Caenorhabditis elegans: one gene and its partners. The protein of the gene in region 2 purifies or fractionates together with the protein of the main gene of each other region. This does not show direct contact. Each region holds a gene or a part of one and is shown on either strand. Other genes may lie near its edges.

Region 1 (7,304 bases), on a different chromosome or scaffold from region 2:
AATCCCGTTACTTTACACAGTTCATTGTGGTATTCAATGAACAATGCTTCTTCTTTTTCTTCTTTCTTTCATCTATTTCTCATCTTTTTGTTGAACTACGTATTAGTTTTTCATCACTTTGGCAATACTAAATTTGGAACTCAAAATGACAAAATGCTCAATTATTATCGGAATTTTTCTGATCGCGGCAATCAATGGACAAGCGTCTAAAAGGCGGATTCAGTACGAATCGGTTTCACAGTTTTTGTTTCATAACTCTAAATTATGTAAGTTAGAAAATCAATTTAAATTCAAATTTAATCTGTATTATGTAATAACACAAAAGAATAATCTTATAGTATATTTCAGAAATGTTGTAAACGATTTCTGAATTAATTCTTCATAATTTACCAGCATACATTTTTAAGATACAAGAAATTAAATATTGTTCCAACACTTTTTTTACAGGCGGTGATCCATTTTCTGATGCTGTCTGGCTTCCTGTACTCGATTTATGTTCTATCGAGTGTGAAATAACATCCGAATATTGTGTGGAAAATGAGGAACTTACACAACAATGCAAGAAATGTATGTTTTCGATGTTTAGAAGAAAGCTTGAGTTTTAAAAAATCTTTTTTCAGTACCGGAAGATTGCCAGGCTCTTCTCCGAAAAGCAATCAAACAAATTCAGAGACATATTCGATCACAAAAGCCAGTTTACCTTTAGATAATTTCTATCTCACTAATTTTTGTAAATTTGAACAATAAAGACTCTTGAATATTACCTTTTTACTCATCAATCTGAATTGTCCTTTTCCACGTGTAGCGGTCTCCATTCGATTCAAAACTTCTTTAGTAAATACTACAACAATTGATTTCACATCGCCTCCAAAATCAAAGAATTGAGTGACAATCGTGAGAATTCTATCGAAAACTTTCGTCTCGTTGCTTGAAAGGGCCCATGGCTCGAGAACTTCTGAAAATGAGAATTTATAAAAAAAACTTTTCAAAAGTATAACTTACTCAGGTACATTTTATCAAAACCAGATGATTCAACTGATGCTTTGATGAGAAGTGGAAGAAATACTTGAACTGTGGCGAAGTCACAGCGCTGAAAATAAAGTATTTATAAAAATTTTAAAATAGAAAACTAACCTTTAAAGCAGCCAAAATTTTAGGATACTGATCATCAGAAAATTGAATAGATCCGTCTTTCTTTACAAACTTTGCGTATTTTGCAACCACTGTTGAATGAGAATTACGAAGGCGAAGTGCCAGGTAGACATTTTCCGGTGTGAACTGAGAGCTGAGACCTTCCAAATTCATTTCGATGGCTGGGGATACACTCTGAAATTTAAAAATTAATATAGATTTGTTTTTGTTCAAACAGTAAATTGATTTACCTTTTGGAAAACACTTTCTTTTGTCTTTGTAGCCAAACTGCATAGAAGGTTAATCTGTGAAAATGCCAAGCTTGGAGCAAAGTCTCTGATTTTCTTCGAATGCTCAACAATTTTTGTAGCTTCTGCTTCTTTGAGTTTTCTGGTTTGACAATATGTGACAAGAATAAGATAATGTCCAATTGCATGTCCGGTACCAACAGTCTGAATCGAAACATTTAGTACAAATAAAGGAACTTACAATCCCAACCTTTTCTGCCAGGTCCATCTTTTTATCTGCAACGGCCAATATTTTGTCGAGTTCCCATGATTCGCCTGCTTTTGTCATTAAAATAGTACCCAAAGCGGTTGTATATCCCAAACGAACAGCAGCACGAGCTGAAGCACATCCAGAAATAAGACGTTCAATCACATATGTGTTGAGCTCGTTATCGGATAATTCCTAAAAAAATAACACTTTAATTAGGCATTTATTTCAGCTACTTTTTTCCTACCTCTTGTTTGCTTGAAAGCTGTCTAACTGCTCCTTTTCTGACTAATGGATCGAGCTCAGCAAGCTTTGAAATAATATCGAGTAATTCACTTGGCGGTCTCATGCTTAAAACTTAAAATTATAATTAAAAAGAGAATAAATTGACGAGAGGATCATTCTCGTGAATTTTCCAGACCAAGTAAACTGTATTTTTCTATAAAACACAAAAAATAAATGTAATTTTAGTTTAATGAAAGAAAAAGAAATAGAAGTAAAATATTTTGTTCGTAAAATAAAATGTATTCTGTGCGCACGCACCACACCTGACGCGCAAACAAACAAGTGCGATTTTCGAATTTTATTCTTTTCCTGTTTGATTTAATTATTGTTTCAGCGTCAAATAATGTTTGAAAACACTAAAAAAGCATTGGAAACGTTTCGAACAGCTATCGAGTGTGTTAAATGGTAAGTTGTTGTACAAGATTTTGCCTCTTAAATAAAATTTCAGCAAAAAACCGAGGGGAGACTTGCAATATCTCGGATCATCTTGCAAACATGCTTATTGCTGGTAGGTATTGCAACCTAATAAATTGTCAATAACTTCAGTTTATGTTCAGGGAATGTATCGCCACATTTCAACAGAAACCGTCTGGAAAACGCTCTTCAGTGGCTCGACACATGTGTCCGAGTTGTGCTTTCCCACTAGACACATCCAAAATCACAGAAGCTCATATGCTGAAAACGTGCTTTGATACTTTGTCTGAACTAAACGACCTTTTACAGAAAGTAAGTCAATGGTGAAAAGCTCGAAAATTAAATTCTCATTTAGGTCGGAACAACATCTCTAACTCAAGCAGAGTTTGCCTGTACACAAAACATTTTTAACAAAGAAAAAACTCCAGCTGATGCCGTAGAGAAATTCCTGGAGACGCAAGCTCATATGCCAGACGAGATGGGACAACTTGGTGAAGAGGATGATGATTTGATGTGTAAAGATGAAAACCGGTAAGTCGAAAAAATCTGCGTTCGGGGGGAATCGAACCCCCGTCGAATGCTTGGAAGGCATCCATGCTGACCATTACACCACGAACGCGACATATCGGGGATATCTTTCCGAGAAAACGATTCCCGTCATGCTTCTTCTACAAACCTGATGCGGTCTATTTGGTGGCTTCAAGTAGAAATGTCTCTTCATTTAATAGCTGGTTTCCCATGCCGCGTTCGTGGTGTAATGGTCAGCATGGATGCCTTCCAAGCATTCGACGGGGGTTCGATTCCCCCCGAACGCAGAACTTTTTTTCATATTTTCCCAGTAAATTCAGGGAAAATTCAAACTCTCCAGAATTGGATATATTCCACGACTACAGCAAAGAAGCTTCTCCGTGAGTTTGTTACATTGCTTCAATTAATTGAATTTTATTTACTTTTAGAACGCGTAATTCGACAAAACGCCCTTCAACTGTCAGTGTTCATGAGAGAAAACCCAAAAGGTCATCGATACTGAAAACTTCCGTCAAAAATGAACCGGCTGCGCCTGTAGTTGATCTTTTTGCATCGCAAGTTCCGCAGAGAACTCATCAAAATGATTTACTGACGCCGTTTATTGAGGTATGACAATTTCACTTTAAAGACGCTTCAGAACTTTAACGGAAATTCTTCAGCGTCGCTCAACTGCTCCAGCAGCAACTGGTGTTGCAACGTATGCTCAAGCTTTCGGAAGTAGCAGTAATCCAGTTAAAGCCGAAATTATCGAAGAAGATATTTTCTCGAAAGCGATTCCTCTCACAAAACGGCAAGCTTCAATGAGTGCGAGCGCCAAGAAACAACCAAAATTGGAACCTGAAGAACCAGAAGAAGTACCATCGACGTCTAGAAGTCGTAAAAATTCGATTAAATCCGATAAAATCGAACGACGATCTCAATCACCGATGAGTTTTGGAGAGAAGTCGATGAGTGTGAAATCAGAGCAAGTGAGTGACTTCAATAAAAGAGTTTTCGGGCGTTCGTCTTTCTACTCTGTCACGCTCAACGTCCACATTATCTTGTTGTCTGCGCCTCTGTCCCTTACTTAACAAGTCTTTGCATCACAGCACGCATGGCCTCCTTAGCTCAGTTGGTAGAGCGTGAGACTTTTAATCTTAAGGTCAGGGGTTCGAGTCCCCTAGGTGGCTTGACTTTTTTTTTTGAAAATTGAACTTGATCTCTACGCCTTCATTCCAATTTTCACATTTTCGCAAACTTTTTGCAATTTTTTAAATGTTCAGCGTCGCAGTTCTTATGGTACTCGTCGTGGTGAAGCTGTCCTGGTCAATTCAATTCGCAATAATCGTATTCCTCAACTTCGAAGTGCTGTAGAGGCAGGAACGTGCGTAAATGAGAAAGAAGACGGAAAGACACCACTTTACGTGGCAGTTGAGAATAGCTCATTGGAAGCTGTTAAGATACTTGTTGAAGCGGGTGCAGTTATTAATGCTTCATGTAAGAAACAACTTCTATCAACTTTCTTGACGAAGAATTCAGGCGGCTCAACATTAGAAACAACGCTTCACGAGGCTGTTCGCCGTCAAAATACTCAAATTGTTGAATATCTTTTATCGAAAGGTGCCAGCATCAAAATTCGAAATATTGCTGGAAAAACTGTCGAAGAAATGGCTAAAAGTGATCCGAAAATTAGGAAAATAATCGAAAAATTCAAGACTGAACAGAGAGTTTTACAGCCTGGTAAGAAATTTTTTGACAATTTTATTCTTCGTGATAAAAATTGAATTTTCAGTCGTCGCCCCTCCAAAATCTCGTCTTCATTTCGTTCAACTCATAGATGAGAAGATGCTCACTGAATCTGAAAAACGAAAACTTCCCGGAAAAATCAATGTAAAAACAATTAATTTTTAAAAATAAAATAAATTTATTCAGATAGTTCCTGCTGATATGGATTCTCCGACGCATGTGGTAGTCACCGTTGATTTGAAAACTCGTGTGCTCAATATTAACAAGGAGCATATTGGAGAAATTTTAAAAGCTATCATAAAGTAGGTTTTTAAAATTATCCTAAAAAGTGGGAGATAGTCATTTTGGGATTTTTAATGTCAGAAAATAGACCGTAATGACAGACTATAGCTGTTAAGAAATTAATTTTTTCGAAATTTTTCAAAAAATGGGCTACTTATTTTTAAATTCTCGCGCAAATAAATGGAAGGCATTTGTTCGTAAGAAAACGCATGATAATCAGAAAGAAATTCGCTGAAACTTCAAAATTGAATTGAAAGTCGATAATTTCACATTTATTCATCTTTTTTTTTGCTTAAAAAATTTATGAAAATCTGACAATCTTCGGAACATCAAGCAAAAATCACGAAAAGCGTTCGAATTTAGCCATTCATTTGCACGAGAGTTCAAAACTAATCAGAACTTATTATTTTTCCAAAGCTGAAATAATTTTTTAACAGTTATATTCGGTAATTATGGTCTATTTTCTATCATTCCTTCAAATCAGGTCGCAATGCATTACATATTTATTGGAGATAAAAAGATAATTAGGCACGAACACAGGCTCCTGCCACACATTTTTTTCCAACTGGACAGTCAAAAGTACAAGGTTCATCAGCATTTTCGTCAGTGATAACAACTCCACCACTTGCATGATTTGAAAAAAGACATTGTCCATAAACACAAAGCCTATTATCCGAGCAATCCGAATCAGTTCGACATTCTGCTTTCTTTGCATTAACATAAATTGAAAGAAGAAGAAGAAGGAAACACTGCAAAATTAGTTTTGAATATTAGCAAAAGTAGTATATAACTCACCAGAAACACCTTCATTTCAGTTTCACAGTGGCTCGATTGTATTATAAAATGCGTTTCCCTGTCTAGTTATAGACTGATCCCATGGGAAAATTGCAAACAATCGCAAGGGTGCAGTATGAGAGCCAAAAAAATCTATGTGAAAATATGAAATTTCAAAGCGGAAATTCATACTTTCAGATCGGGAATGATAGTTAGTCGAGATTGGCTGAGAGCGTGCATTATTGATCCATCGAAAGTCGATGATGATCGTTCTTATATGGTTCAGAAAGTTAGATGGATGGAAGGTGAAGTATTTGAAAATACTATTGAACAATGGAAGAAGACAATCACTAAAATGGTACGGATTTGATTTCCACTAAAGAAAAAAATACAACCAAATTTTTCAGCAACCAAAATTGTTCGCCGGTTGCAAATTTTTCATTCCAAAGCCAAAGTATAACTTCCTCGGTACGATTCTAATTTACAGTATTTTAATTTTTTCAATTTTCAATTTCAGATCGCCCAGCTCTTTTTGAAATTATTCGATCTGCCGGTGGTCAAGCTGCAGCGAGGGAGCCCATTATTGACGAAAAAGATCCACCGCCGTACCATAATGCCAACTTGAAACCAAACTTTGTGCTCTACAGCTTGACACATGATGTAAGTTTAACGAAGGAGTTTTCCTGTTATTATGGATTCGGTAGTTTCAGTTTGGTGACATTTTTATTTCTCTTTACAGATAGGAGACAAATTCCGCGACTGCACAAAGTACAATCTTGTCAGCGAGCAGTGGTTAATAGAGGCGATTCTTGGATGCTCCATCACAACACCACCACATTAACCATTTTCCGTTTTAAAATATTTTCTTTTGCGTTTCTATTGTAAAATTGCAATATGAATGATTATTTTTTGAAGTGTTATTTTATACACAACGGCATCCAATCCATGCAATTAAAGTTATGATGTAATTAAAATCGAGAACAAGATATAAATATAAGTTATGAGATCATATTAATTAAAAACAATTTACCGGCTTAAAACAAGAAAATTACAATTGAGTTATACAATTTACAATGATACAATTTACATTAAGAAGAATCTACACCATTCGTTTCCTGTACCTTTAATTTTCTTTTTTGATATTTGTTAACGGCAGTGACTGGACGAGTCTCATTATATTTCCGTTGATAAATAAAACAAGCATTACATTGAATTCCTTCCTTTGATCGAATATTCCTCCAACGAATTGTTTCAGTTACTGAACAATTTGAGCATTGAAATGACTTCTTATTATCAGAATTGCTCGGTGGAGTTGAACTTTGAGTAGAGGTAGATGGAGATGTAGATGGAGTAGAAAAATGAGTAAACGTGGTGAAATGGGAAGAATTAGGACTTCCAGTAGTTGGTGAAATATTTAAAGATGAAGAATCCATTGCAGTTGGATAATAAGAAGCATAAGTATTGACATAGTCATAGTAGTTATTATAATAAGAATAGTCAGTAGTGAAGGAGTATGTACCATTGAATGGAGTTGAATAATCATAGAATCCAACTTGTTGCTGGGTATTGTCAAAGACATTTTCAGCATTGAAAACTGGGTACGGATAAGCCATAGTGATAGAGAGAAGGAATAAAGTATGAATACTGACTCAAACTGATATTCTTTGGGC
Region 2 (4,110 bases):
CTTTGTTGGGGGACTAGAATCTCGTAAAATTTGTGGGATAAAACCGAATTATTAAAATTTAAAGAAAGACGAACATTTGTGATCTTGAAAACGAAACTAAAATCTACAAAAAATATAAAACGAAAAGAAGAAAAGTGTTTCAAAAAAAGTCTACTTCCGAATAAGATGAAAATCGAATTTAAAGAAATGTCTCCTAAATATCATAGAAAATTTAAGAATCCGTCAAGCTAGTTCTAGTTTTATTATTCGCTAAAATCTTATCAGGCATCCATTCAGGTTGCTTTGCGGTTAACGAAACTCCATCAGCTGTCAATTTTTGAGATTTGAATGAAGAAAGTTGAAGAATTCCCAGGCAACGAGTTGTGTCAGAAGAGATAATCTGAAGATTTTTTAATTGAACAGAAACTATTGTTTTTCAATTTTTGACAGTGAATTGACTCCAGATAATTCCAACGTTTAGATGAATTTTTTATCACTATAACTTTTAAACACACCTTTCCGACTTTATTTTTCTTCTCGTCCAGAACTTCTGCTCCAATTTTGACTTGACCTTCACATTCAAATGGTAAGATTCGTCGACGGATAACACCTGTCAAAATTTAATTTTTCAAAATCAAATTGAACTAGTTTTGTGGGTTTTACAAAAATTTAATTGACAAGTTACTAAATAAAAAGGAAAGTGAGATTTCACGTCTCCAAATATCTAAATTTAGTTGAAGTAACCTGTATGAGCAGTTCTTGCAGTTAATTCCTGTCCAACATAACATCCTTTATCAAGTGAAACCATATTGAGCAGATCACCGTTTGCCTTAAAAAATAATATTTGAAAATGAACTTTTAGAAATATTTCATTTAAATTGCTTCTGTTGTATTTTTACCTGAAAAGGAAGCAACTCCGCCAATTCTTGAGATCCTTCTGCAATTCCAGCAGATCGTCGCAAATTTTCATATTTTTCTCGATTTTCGCTAACTTCCGATGAAGACGGATTACCGAAAACGCGAGCTCCAAAACCAGAAAATCGAGGATCGCGGTGAGCTAAAATAAAATGTTATTAAAGTTTTGACGTTCATTTTCTACCTTGTTTGTCCGATACATCTTCTGTGAAAAATATTTGATCGGAAGATTCGGTGATTTCAACTTGTTTCCTCAATCGATATTTCAAGATTTCTTTTGTTAAAATAGTTTTATTTTCTTTAGAACATTCCAAGAACAAATCATCAGTTCCTCGTCTCCATAGAAGAACATCTTCAACAATTCTCCCTTTTGTGTTGAGCAAAAAAGCAGCAAGTCCATTTTGAGTTTGAAGTTTTCTGCAAAATAAGATGTAATCATTTTCGCTGTAATTTTTAGAGTATAAAAACATACGTCACATCATTTGTAATTAAACCTTGAAGAAACGCGTTTGTGTCAGAGCCATGAAGTTTCAAAAGAACTCTATGAGGCAATTTAATTAATCTTTGTGTTGACATCTGTAAAAAAGTTTGATAATCACAAGAAAACATATTAAAATATGTTAGAGTAAATTTCGCAACGGGGATGATCATATGGCCGTGCCGAATAATTTCGTCCGCGGCCGCAAGTAGAGCGAGGAAATTTGAAAAAGAAAACAAGCGCTTGGATTAGCAGCAAACTATTTAGGATGAAGCACCAAGTACGTCGCATTGAAAGCTGGGAATAATTATAATTTGCCTAAGCTTGGGACAAACTACACTCAAAATAAAAAAACTGCGTGGCGTGTACTGCAGAAAACCTCATATTTAGGCCCCGCCTTTTTCTCGTCCACTCACGGAGTGGAGGCAAAAATTTGGGGACCAACCAATATCATGCCGCCGACATCCTACGGGTTCCGCGCGCCGCTATGTTTAACTCGCAGCGGGCGGAGACAGCTCGCCACGCCCACAGCGAGTTAATCCTAGCGGCGCGCGGAACCCGTAGGATGTCGGCGGCCTGATATTGGTTGGTCCCCAAATTTTTGCCTTTTGTCCGTGAGTGGACGAGAAAAAGGCGGGGCCTAAAAATGAGGTTTTCTGCAGTACAGGCCACGCAGTTTTTTTATTTTGAGTGTAGGTTGTTGCTTAAATTTAATAAAATTAATTTGAATTAAAAATTGTCGAAGCGAATACATATTTAAAAAATGAATATTTTGTGTGTTTAATGAGTGAATAAAAATAAAACTGTTCATGAAAACATACGGTTTAAAGGCTCACGTTGTTCTTAAGTCATGTGGGTCTCGCAACGATCGCAAACACGCTACGGTTTTTTGTTAATTTTAAATATTTTTATTTTCTATTGTGAATTGGCCATTTCAATATCTCCAATTTCAGAGATAAATGAATTTCGAAAAGCTTGTCAGTCAGGCAGTAAATGGTGACCGATTCAAAATTTTCTGCGGGCAGCTCACTGAGTTCACCAACTCGCTCGCTGGGGAAAGAGGTATGTTTTGAGGCAAACATCAATGAAATATGAATTTAAAAATACATTTTCAGAGGCCATAGAAAAAGGAATGAGGCAAATCGAAACTCAACAGCTTGAAGGTTTGACAGATTGAAAAAGGCTCAACTTTAAAATTTTCTTCAGCCGAAACTTCATTCACCGAGCGAATTGCTGAAGACAGGGTTAAATGTGCTGCTCAACGAGAAAGTCTAGAAAGACAGCTTCAGGATTTGACAGCAACTGACAATAAACTGTCTGAACAGAAAAGAGACTGGGAAGAGAGACAAGAAAAAGCCTATGATGAACTAATGTCTTATTTGGAAAACGAGGATGTGGACAGTGCGGGTACACAGTTCGGAGATCACTTCAATTCATTAATTAAATCGATGAACAACTTGGTAAGTCTGCTCGATAACTTTATAATTTTTAAAAAGAGTGGGTTTCTGAATGTTATATTTTCAGTCACATGATTCGATGAATGGTCAATTCAATTCACTCAAAAACAATCTGGATGAATTAAACATTGAAAGTAAGTTGAAAAAAAATTTTGATGGTATTATCAACTAAACTTGCAGAGAAACAACTAGAAGTCGCCATCGCTGATCAATCATCGACTATTTCTGAAATGATTCCTTCTCTCCGTCCAACATGTGGAGCGACCTACAAAGAGCGCAACACTCTTCGCATTATTTTCCATTATCAAGTTGCCAAACTGCGCAGTGAGTACCAAAAATGTCGTCTACAAGAAGAAGCTCTGAAAGCCCGACTTTCTACATGAATTAAAAGAATCAGAACAGCCAAAATGTGGGCAACTGTTAATCGAACTGTAATGATATTAAAAATTGAATAATCTTTTTTCAAATCGTTCTGTTATCCTAAACTTTCATCATGTCGAATGCTTATCATGTAATATTTAATTTTATTGCATCAACCGTTGTGAAGTTTTAATAAATTATAGTCCTGGATTTCTCGGCCTTCTTGAATTATTGGCCCGAGCGATAGCTTCCGCAAATGTTTTCGGAGGTCCTTCCGGCCAATTGTCCAAGTCCATATCCATAAAATCGCATGTATTCGTTCGAAATACAACTCCAGGCGGTAGAGGGTCTTCTTGAAGTTGTGAAATGGGTGTTCCTTGGATAGTAGATTGAGTCCTAAAGTAAGATGTTCCTATTAATTAAAATTCACAATTTTGGGAATATGAATAACTTTCCCTTTTTCGAAAGTCGTGCTTCAATAATGAGACTAACTTACTTTTCTACTGTGTGGTCCTCTTCTGATCGTTTTCCTGCATTTTCCAAAGATGCCAGCTCAATGATAGAATACTTTTTAGTACACGGCGTAATCGTTTTAAAGTGAAAATGACTGAGAAATTTAAGAATTTCACTTCTTGAAGAGTGGTCGGAATATGGAATTCTAATGATTCCCTCGTCGTCGTTGACACCATTTCCAAACGTATAATAGAGCATCGATATGTCGATTATCACCGAATTTTGAGATATTTCACAACTAAAATAAAGGATTATTTGATGTGTTTAAAAATGGAAAGCCGTACTAGCTTCCTTTTTTGATAACTTTAATATCTCGATACTGTTTCAAAACTCCACAGTTTGATGAAAAGTCTAATAAATCTGAAATAACTTTTCTTTCATCATAAACCATAATGGGTTCATTCAATA
Region 3 (5,568 bases), on a different chromosome or scaffold from region 2:
GCTTCCACTTTGACATCTTCCTGCGATGCGAGAACGGCAGCTGCATCCGCAATTGACTTGAGCCCAATTGGTTTAGCTCCTCGAAAAACTCCGTCCGCCGTAACCAAAACTCTGCAGCGAGCGTCGACAACACGAGCGGCAAGTGATTCGGCAGAGAAACCAGCGAAAACAACAGAATGCATTGCTCCGATACGGGCACACGCAAGCATTGCAACTGCTAATTCGGGAATCATTGGAAGATATAAAGCAACCACATCGCCTCGTTTGACGCCATGAGATCTCAGAACAGCGGAGAATTGGACTACTTGGGCGTGTAGCTCGTTGTATGTCCAGGTGGAGGTGTCGGTTGGCTCGTTTCCTTCGAAAATGTAGGCGATTTTGTTTCCATATCCACGTTTAATGTTTCTTTCCAAACAGTTGTACGAGATGTTAGTCTTGGCTCCATCCATAAACTTGACGAAGACATTTCCAGCTTTCGAGTCGAAATTCCATTCGAGACCCTTAGAGGTTCCTTGTTCGAAATGGAGTTCAGATGAGACGGTACGCCAGAACTCGTCAGCATCGTTGATCGAGGAACGGTACAAATCGTGGTAAGATTGAAGGCCAGCACAGTGAGCACCGGCAAGGAGTGGGGCTGGAGGGAGGAAAATCTGAAATCTATTGGTTTTAAAAGTATTCTTTCGAAGAAATAAATTCTTACATCCTCGTCGAGACCTTCTCCATCGTTGGCTAGGTTGAACTTGACGCGAACGTCCGACATGATGAGATGCAATAACCTGAAAATGAGGCACTTTATGATAAGAAAATGCGGTAAAACATGCGAAATATGGCACCATAAACCGTGAGCAGGACAAAGAACAAACACTTGGAAAAGAAAAGAAAATAGAAAGAAAAAAAGGAAAACTGGAGAAAACAAACTCAATAACACAACGCGAGAAATACAATTTCGTTTCGTTTTTTCTTCTATTTATTAGATTTCTCACAATTTGTTACCAGTAAAGTCACGTTCTATATTTCAAACTACTCCTAAAATTCGGTTTGAACAGTTCTCTGATAAACGAATTTCGAAGAACGATCAGAAAACAAATCTACGGTTGTGTGTGATCAATGGGGTCAAACGGTGGACGAAAGGGGACGGCGGAGAGAGGAAAAAGTGAGAGAAAATAAATAAAATTGACCTTCGAGTGCAGAGTTTTGCTGGTATTTTGGTCAGAATTGATTATGAAAATCTGAAAATTACCGCCGGGAAAGTTGAAAATTTGACGTGGAAACGTTTAAAAAAATAAGATGAGAAAGTTAGTACTGTAGATGTCGTCGGATCAAGTGCACAGTACGCAAGCACCGTTACGAAAAATTGCACTAATTGCTCAATTAAATTTTTTTAAAAAATTAATTTTTATAGTGTGTTTTGTGTTTTTTTTCTGCTTTTTTAATGATTTTTAAAGGCTTGATTATGTTTTTTTCTCAAAATTTGAATAATCAATAACATTAATTAATTACTTTATTAAAAAACCACATTTGGCATTTTAATAAAGCAAGTTATCGCGACAAACGGCAAAAATGTCTCTTTTTATAAAAATTGTTTTTTTTTGAGTTAAGAGAAGATGTGGAGTTTTTTGAACTACATTAGTTTTCTAAAAATTTTATCATCTAGATTTTGAGGAAAAAAGCAGATTATATATCTTTAATCTTGGTTTTAAAATTTTTTTAAAAAGCAGAATATTAAAGTAAAATATTATAAAAAGAAAAATTCGTGTTTGCAAAATTTGTTTGAACGGAACCTTGCAAAAATGATATTTAGCAGCTAAACTAACTGAAAACTACTGCATAAAGCTTTCCCAAAAAGAGCTACCATCCAGAAAATGTTTTTTTTTTCAAAGCCGAAAAAGAAGAAAAAAAGATAGAAAACCGAAAAAGCAGCATCGTTTTCGCGCACTCTTTCTTCTTTTTTTCTTTCTTTTTCTAAAAAAAAATATTCTCCGTAGCTTGAAGTCTCAGGATTTCCAAAGGGAATTTCCTTGATAGAATATGGAAAAACAAGAGAGTCATCAGAGAAGGGAGAGGAAAAGCGGGGATGCTGGCGAAGACCGGGGGCACCGACTGAAATATAGGCACCGGCGGGGAGGCGGGGCGCTCTCTCCTCTCCGCTTTACTCCGCCCCGATTGTCAGTGGAGCAGGTTTGCAATGAGTGTTCTCTGATGCCCCCTCAGCGCGGGAGTTTTGAAATCAAATATTTTGTATTTTAACCTACTTTATTGATTTTTCAATTAAAATGAAATGTTATTTGTTTAAAATTTAATTTCAGATGGCAGATGTTGCACTGAGGATCACAGAAACAGTGGCACGACTGCAAAAAGAACTGAAATGTGGAATTTGGTAATTTATTTTCAAAAAATCAACAAAAAAACCTTAAATTGGTTTTTTTTCAGCTGTTCAACATACAAAGATCCAATTCTGTCCACATGTTTCCATATTTTCTGTCGTTCTTGCATTAACGCTTGCTTCGAACGAAAACGAAAAGTTCAATGCCCAATTTGTAGAAGTGTACTGGATAAGCGAAGTTGTCGAGATACTTATCAAATTACAATGGCTGTGCAGAACTATTTAAAGCTATCAGAAGCATTTAAAAAAGATATTGAGAATATGAATACGTTCAAGTCACTGCCGCCAGAGAAAATGTTCATGGAAAGTCAAATGCCGCTGGATATCACGATTATTCCAGAGAATGATGGAAAACGATGCGCTCCAGATTTTGCTATACCTTTTTTGCCAGTGGTATGCTTTTTGGCACAAAAAACCAATTAAAACCAAAAGAAAATCACTAAAAATATTTCTAAAATGTCAAATAAAAACATTTTTCACCTTTTTTTGTGTCGTATAGCGATTAAATCAATTTTTAATAATTTTATTACACACTTTTTTCATCGATTTGCTAATTTCTGACTGAAAATCATAGCGGACTGCGAAAAAATTTCGTCAAAAACACGAAAAAAGCAGAAAAGAAATATTTTTTACTTTTTTTTTGTTTGGAAAACTGGACTCTATAGTTACATTTTCTAGTGTATTTTTTTGGGAAAAAAAATTAAAAATGCAATACAAATTGCTAATTAGCTAAATAGTTGAAAAATTTTGAGTTTTTGCATAATTTAGTCCGTTTTTCGAAGTTATCATTAAAAAATTCGGCCTTTTTGGGCTATTTTGACTCTATTAACATTAAATCTGTATTTTCAGCGCCGAAAGCGACCGAGTCGACCACAACCGCCGAGCGCATTCGCCGAGGAGCCTGCAGAACCGGTAGAACCGCCAGAACCAGCCACAAAACAACCTGTAGAGCTCCAAAGTCGAGTATTCCCGCTGGAAAAATTGAAAAAAGACGTGGAAACCTCTACAGAAACGTATAAAATATCAAGAGAAGAACTGAAAAATGTTGATATTGAAGAATACATAAATACCCTCCGAGGTTGGTCAAAAATCAAAAAAAAATTCGCTAATTTTTGCCAATTTTCCAGAAAATTCGACAGAGATTGATGAAATCGATGCACTTTTCCAATTAATGCCGACGATGCGACAATTTCTTCGAAATGTTTGTGATGATTCGGGCTTATTTAGAGGAAAATAATTTTTGAAATAAAATATTTTTTGCAGAATATCAATCAGCTAATGGAGAAATTCCATGTGGCGCCACCGAAAAAATCAGAGAAACCAGCGAATCGAAGAGTATCCTTTGCGAGTTCTCAAGATCTTGAAAACATAAAAATTATGACAGCTTCTGAATCGCTGGAAACTCCTCCTGAGCCAATCCAAAAACTAGCCCAAAAGCCTGAAGTTTTCAAAAGTACTCAAAATTTGATCGATTTGAATCTAAATACTGCAGTGAAAAAGCCAGTGGTCGTAGCATCAGATGATGATGAAGTTGTAGAAGATTCTGAAGGAGAACTACAAATTGATGAAGATGATCTGGCAAATGTTACCTGTGCTACAAGTGTAAGAAATATAGGAAAATCATTGTGTGCAGAATATATCAGGGGTGTGCGGCAAATTTGCCGAATTTGTCGTTTGCCGAGCTCGGCAAATTTCAAAAAAGTTGATTTGCCGAATTTGCCGAGCTCGGCAAATTTCGAAATTTGCCGCACACGTCAAAAATTTGACAGTACAATTTCGACTAAAACTACTGATTTTTTCGCCAAAAATTCAGTAAAATGACACAAAATTGAGTTATTTTGATGCTTAAGCAGACATACTACACGGAACTGATTCCGAAGCCAGATGTGTGTTAAGAATTCGGTAGTTTTGGTGGTCCAAAAACATCAAAAAATATCAAAAATTTCCGAGTTTGTTAAGCACGGCAAATTTGCCGAATTTGCCGAATTAGCCGAGCTCGGCAAATTTGCCGAATTTGCCGTGCTCGGCAAATATTGAACAAAGAGATTTGCCGAATTTGCCGAGCTCGGCAAATTTTGCGATTTGCCGCACACCCCTGGAATATATGGTTTTCAACAGAAAAATTCAATTTTAATTTTAAAAAAAGTTGAATTGTTTTATAAAAAAGTGCTGAACCCGAAAAAAAAACATAATTTTGAGAAAATGCAAATATTTTTTCATTCAAAATTTCCATTTTTGTTATAATTTCGAGCATAACTTTAAAGAAAAAATTTGAAAATAAATTTTTAAGCAATTTTTTTTTAAATATCAGGTTGTCCCATAAGTTTTTGTACTTTTTTTCAAATATTTTTCCAAAACTTCTAGAAAGTTTTAAAATTTTTTCATCGTAGGTCGTGTCAAGGTCGGGTCGTCCCCTTTCAGAAAAGATTCATTTCATCCATTTCTACTTTGCCACGATGACAATCATCAAACTTGAACGTCGAGACGTTAGATTGCTTCTTCTTTATGAATTTCGTCTTGGTCATTCAGCAATGGAAGCGGAACGAAACATATGCGGTGCGATGGGTGAGGGAGCACTCTCTTATAATACAGCAAAGAGTTGGTTTCAAAAGTTCAAGAACGGCGACTTCAGTCTCGAAGAAATAGAACGTTCTGGGCGACCGGTAGAGTTAAATGAAGAAGACCTAGTGAAGCTGGTGGAGGAAGAGCCTCGTCTTAGTCTTCGTGAAATGGAAGAGAAGCTTGAGTGTTGTCATAGCACAATTGCACGTCACTTGGGTCGCCTTGGTTTTACTTCAAAACTTGGAATTTGGGTGCCTCATGAACTTTCGGCATCACAGAAGCTCACTCGGGTCAACGTTTGTACTCAACTTCTAACTTTTCGTCGAAAGTTCGATTGGCTGAACAATCTGGTTACTGGAGATGAGAAGTGGGTGCTCTATGTTAACCATTCCAGAAAACGTCAATGGCTTCCGATCGGTGAGAAAGGAATACCGACGCCAAAGCCTGATCTTCACCCAAAAAAGATTATGATCTGTGTCTGGTGGGGTGTTCAAGGACCCGTGCACTGGGAATTGTTGCCAACTAATAAAACTATCACTGCTGATTACTATTGTGCCCAATTGGACCGAGTTGCAGAAAAGACCAACGGAAAATATGAAAAACTATATTTTCTTCACGATAAT

The links.
Region 1: the proteins of syp-3 (region 2) and brd-1 purify together in Caenorhabditis elegans (affinity purification with western blotting, with the first as the bait; one study listed by BioGRID). This does not show direct contact.
Region 3: the proteins of syp-3 (region 2) and brc-1 purify together in Caenorhabditis elegans (affinity purification with western blotting, with the first as the bait; one study listed by BioGRID). This does not show direct contact.

What each region holds. Positions count from the first base shown.
Region 1 is NC_003281.10:6,884,446-6,891,749, reverse strand, and holds brd-1 (BRCA1-associated RING domain protein 1), read left to right. Parts: upstream 1-2,245; 5' UTR 2,246-2,254; coding exon 2,255-2,316; intron 2,317-2,359; coding exon 2,360-2,419; intron 2,420-2,468; coding exon 2,469-2,637; intron 2,638-2,680; coding exon 2,681-2,856; intron 2,857-2,864; exon of another isoform or gene 2,865-2,947; intron 2,948-3,068; exon of another isoform or gene 3,069-3,159; intron 3,160-3,173; coding exon 3,174-3,233; intron 3,234-3,281; coding exon 3,282-3,459; intron 3,460-3,512; coding exon 3,513-3,821; intron 3,822-3,946; exon of another isoform or gene 3,947-4,034; intron 4,035-4,115; coding exon 4,116-4,329; intron 4,330-4,371; coding exon 4,372-4,572; intron 4,573-4,624; coding exon 4,625-4,722; intron 4,723-4,764; coding exon 4,765-4,880; intron 4,881-5,832; coding exon 5,833-5,992; intron 5,993-6,041; coding exon 6,042-6,102; intron 6,103-6,151; coding exon 6,152-6,294; intron 6,295-6,373; coding exon 6,374-6,475; 3' UTR 6,476-6,543; downstream 6,544-7,304. Other genes in the region: K04C2.5 (INSulin related), read left to right, coding at 146-266, 448-567, 621-706; K04C2.2 (DNA polymerase V), read right to left, coding at 765-955, 1,003-1,090, 1,135-1,326, 1,383-1,583, 1,630-1,821, 1,874-1,975; med-2 (GATA-type domain-containing protein), read right to left, coding at 6,723-7,247. UniProt on the Caenorhabditis elegans protein: Constituent of the CeBCD complex that possesses E3 ubiquitin-protein ligase activity.
Region 2 is NC_003279.8:8,662,336-8,666,445, reverse strand, and holds syp-3 (Synaptonemal complex protein 3), read left to right. Parts: upstream 1-2,325; 5' UTR 2,326-2,331; coding exon 2,332-2,434; intron 2,435-2,487; coding exon 2,488-2,535; intron 2,536-2,578; coding exon 2,579-2,832; intron 2,833-2,896; coding exon 2,897-2,963; intron 2,964-3,009; coding exon 3,010-3,212; 3' UTR 3,213-3,386; downstream 3,387-4,110. Other genes in the region: F39H2.3 (Aminomethyltransferase folate-binding domain-containing protein), read right to left, coding at 212-379, 495-589, 724-808, 879-1,036, 1,079-1,311, 1,367-1,470; mrt-1 (5' exonuclease Apollo), read right to left, coding at 3,387-3,585, 3,686-3,940, 3,987-4,110. UniProt on the Caenorhabditis elegans protein: Plays a role in early meiotic events; during prophase I contributes to synaptonemal complex (SC) assembly, synapsis and chiasmata formation and stabilization of homologous chromosomes pairing.
Region 3 is NC_003281.10:3,859,697-3,865,264, reverse strand, and holds the start of brc-1 (Breast cancer type 1 susceptibility protein homolog), read left to right. Parts: upstream 1-2,306; coding exon 2,307-2,377; intron 2,378-2,430; coding exon 2,431-2,776; intron 2,777-3,232; coding exon 3,233-3,461; intron 3,462-3,510; coding exon 3,511-3,584; intron 3,585-3,646; coding exon 3,647-3,985; intron 3,986-5,568. Other genes in the region: acs-19 (Acetyl-coenzyme A synthetase), read right to left, coding at 1-650, 701-760. UniProt on the Caenorhabditis elegans protein: E3 ubiquitin-protein ligase that specifically mediates the formation of polyubiquitin chains and plays a central role in DNA repair.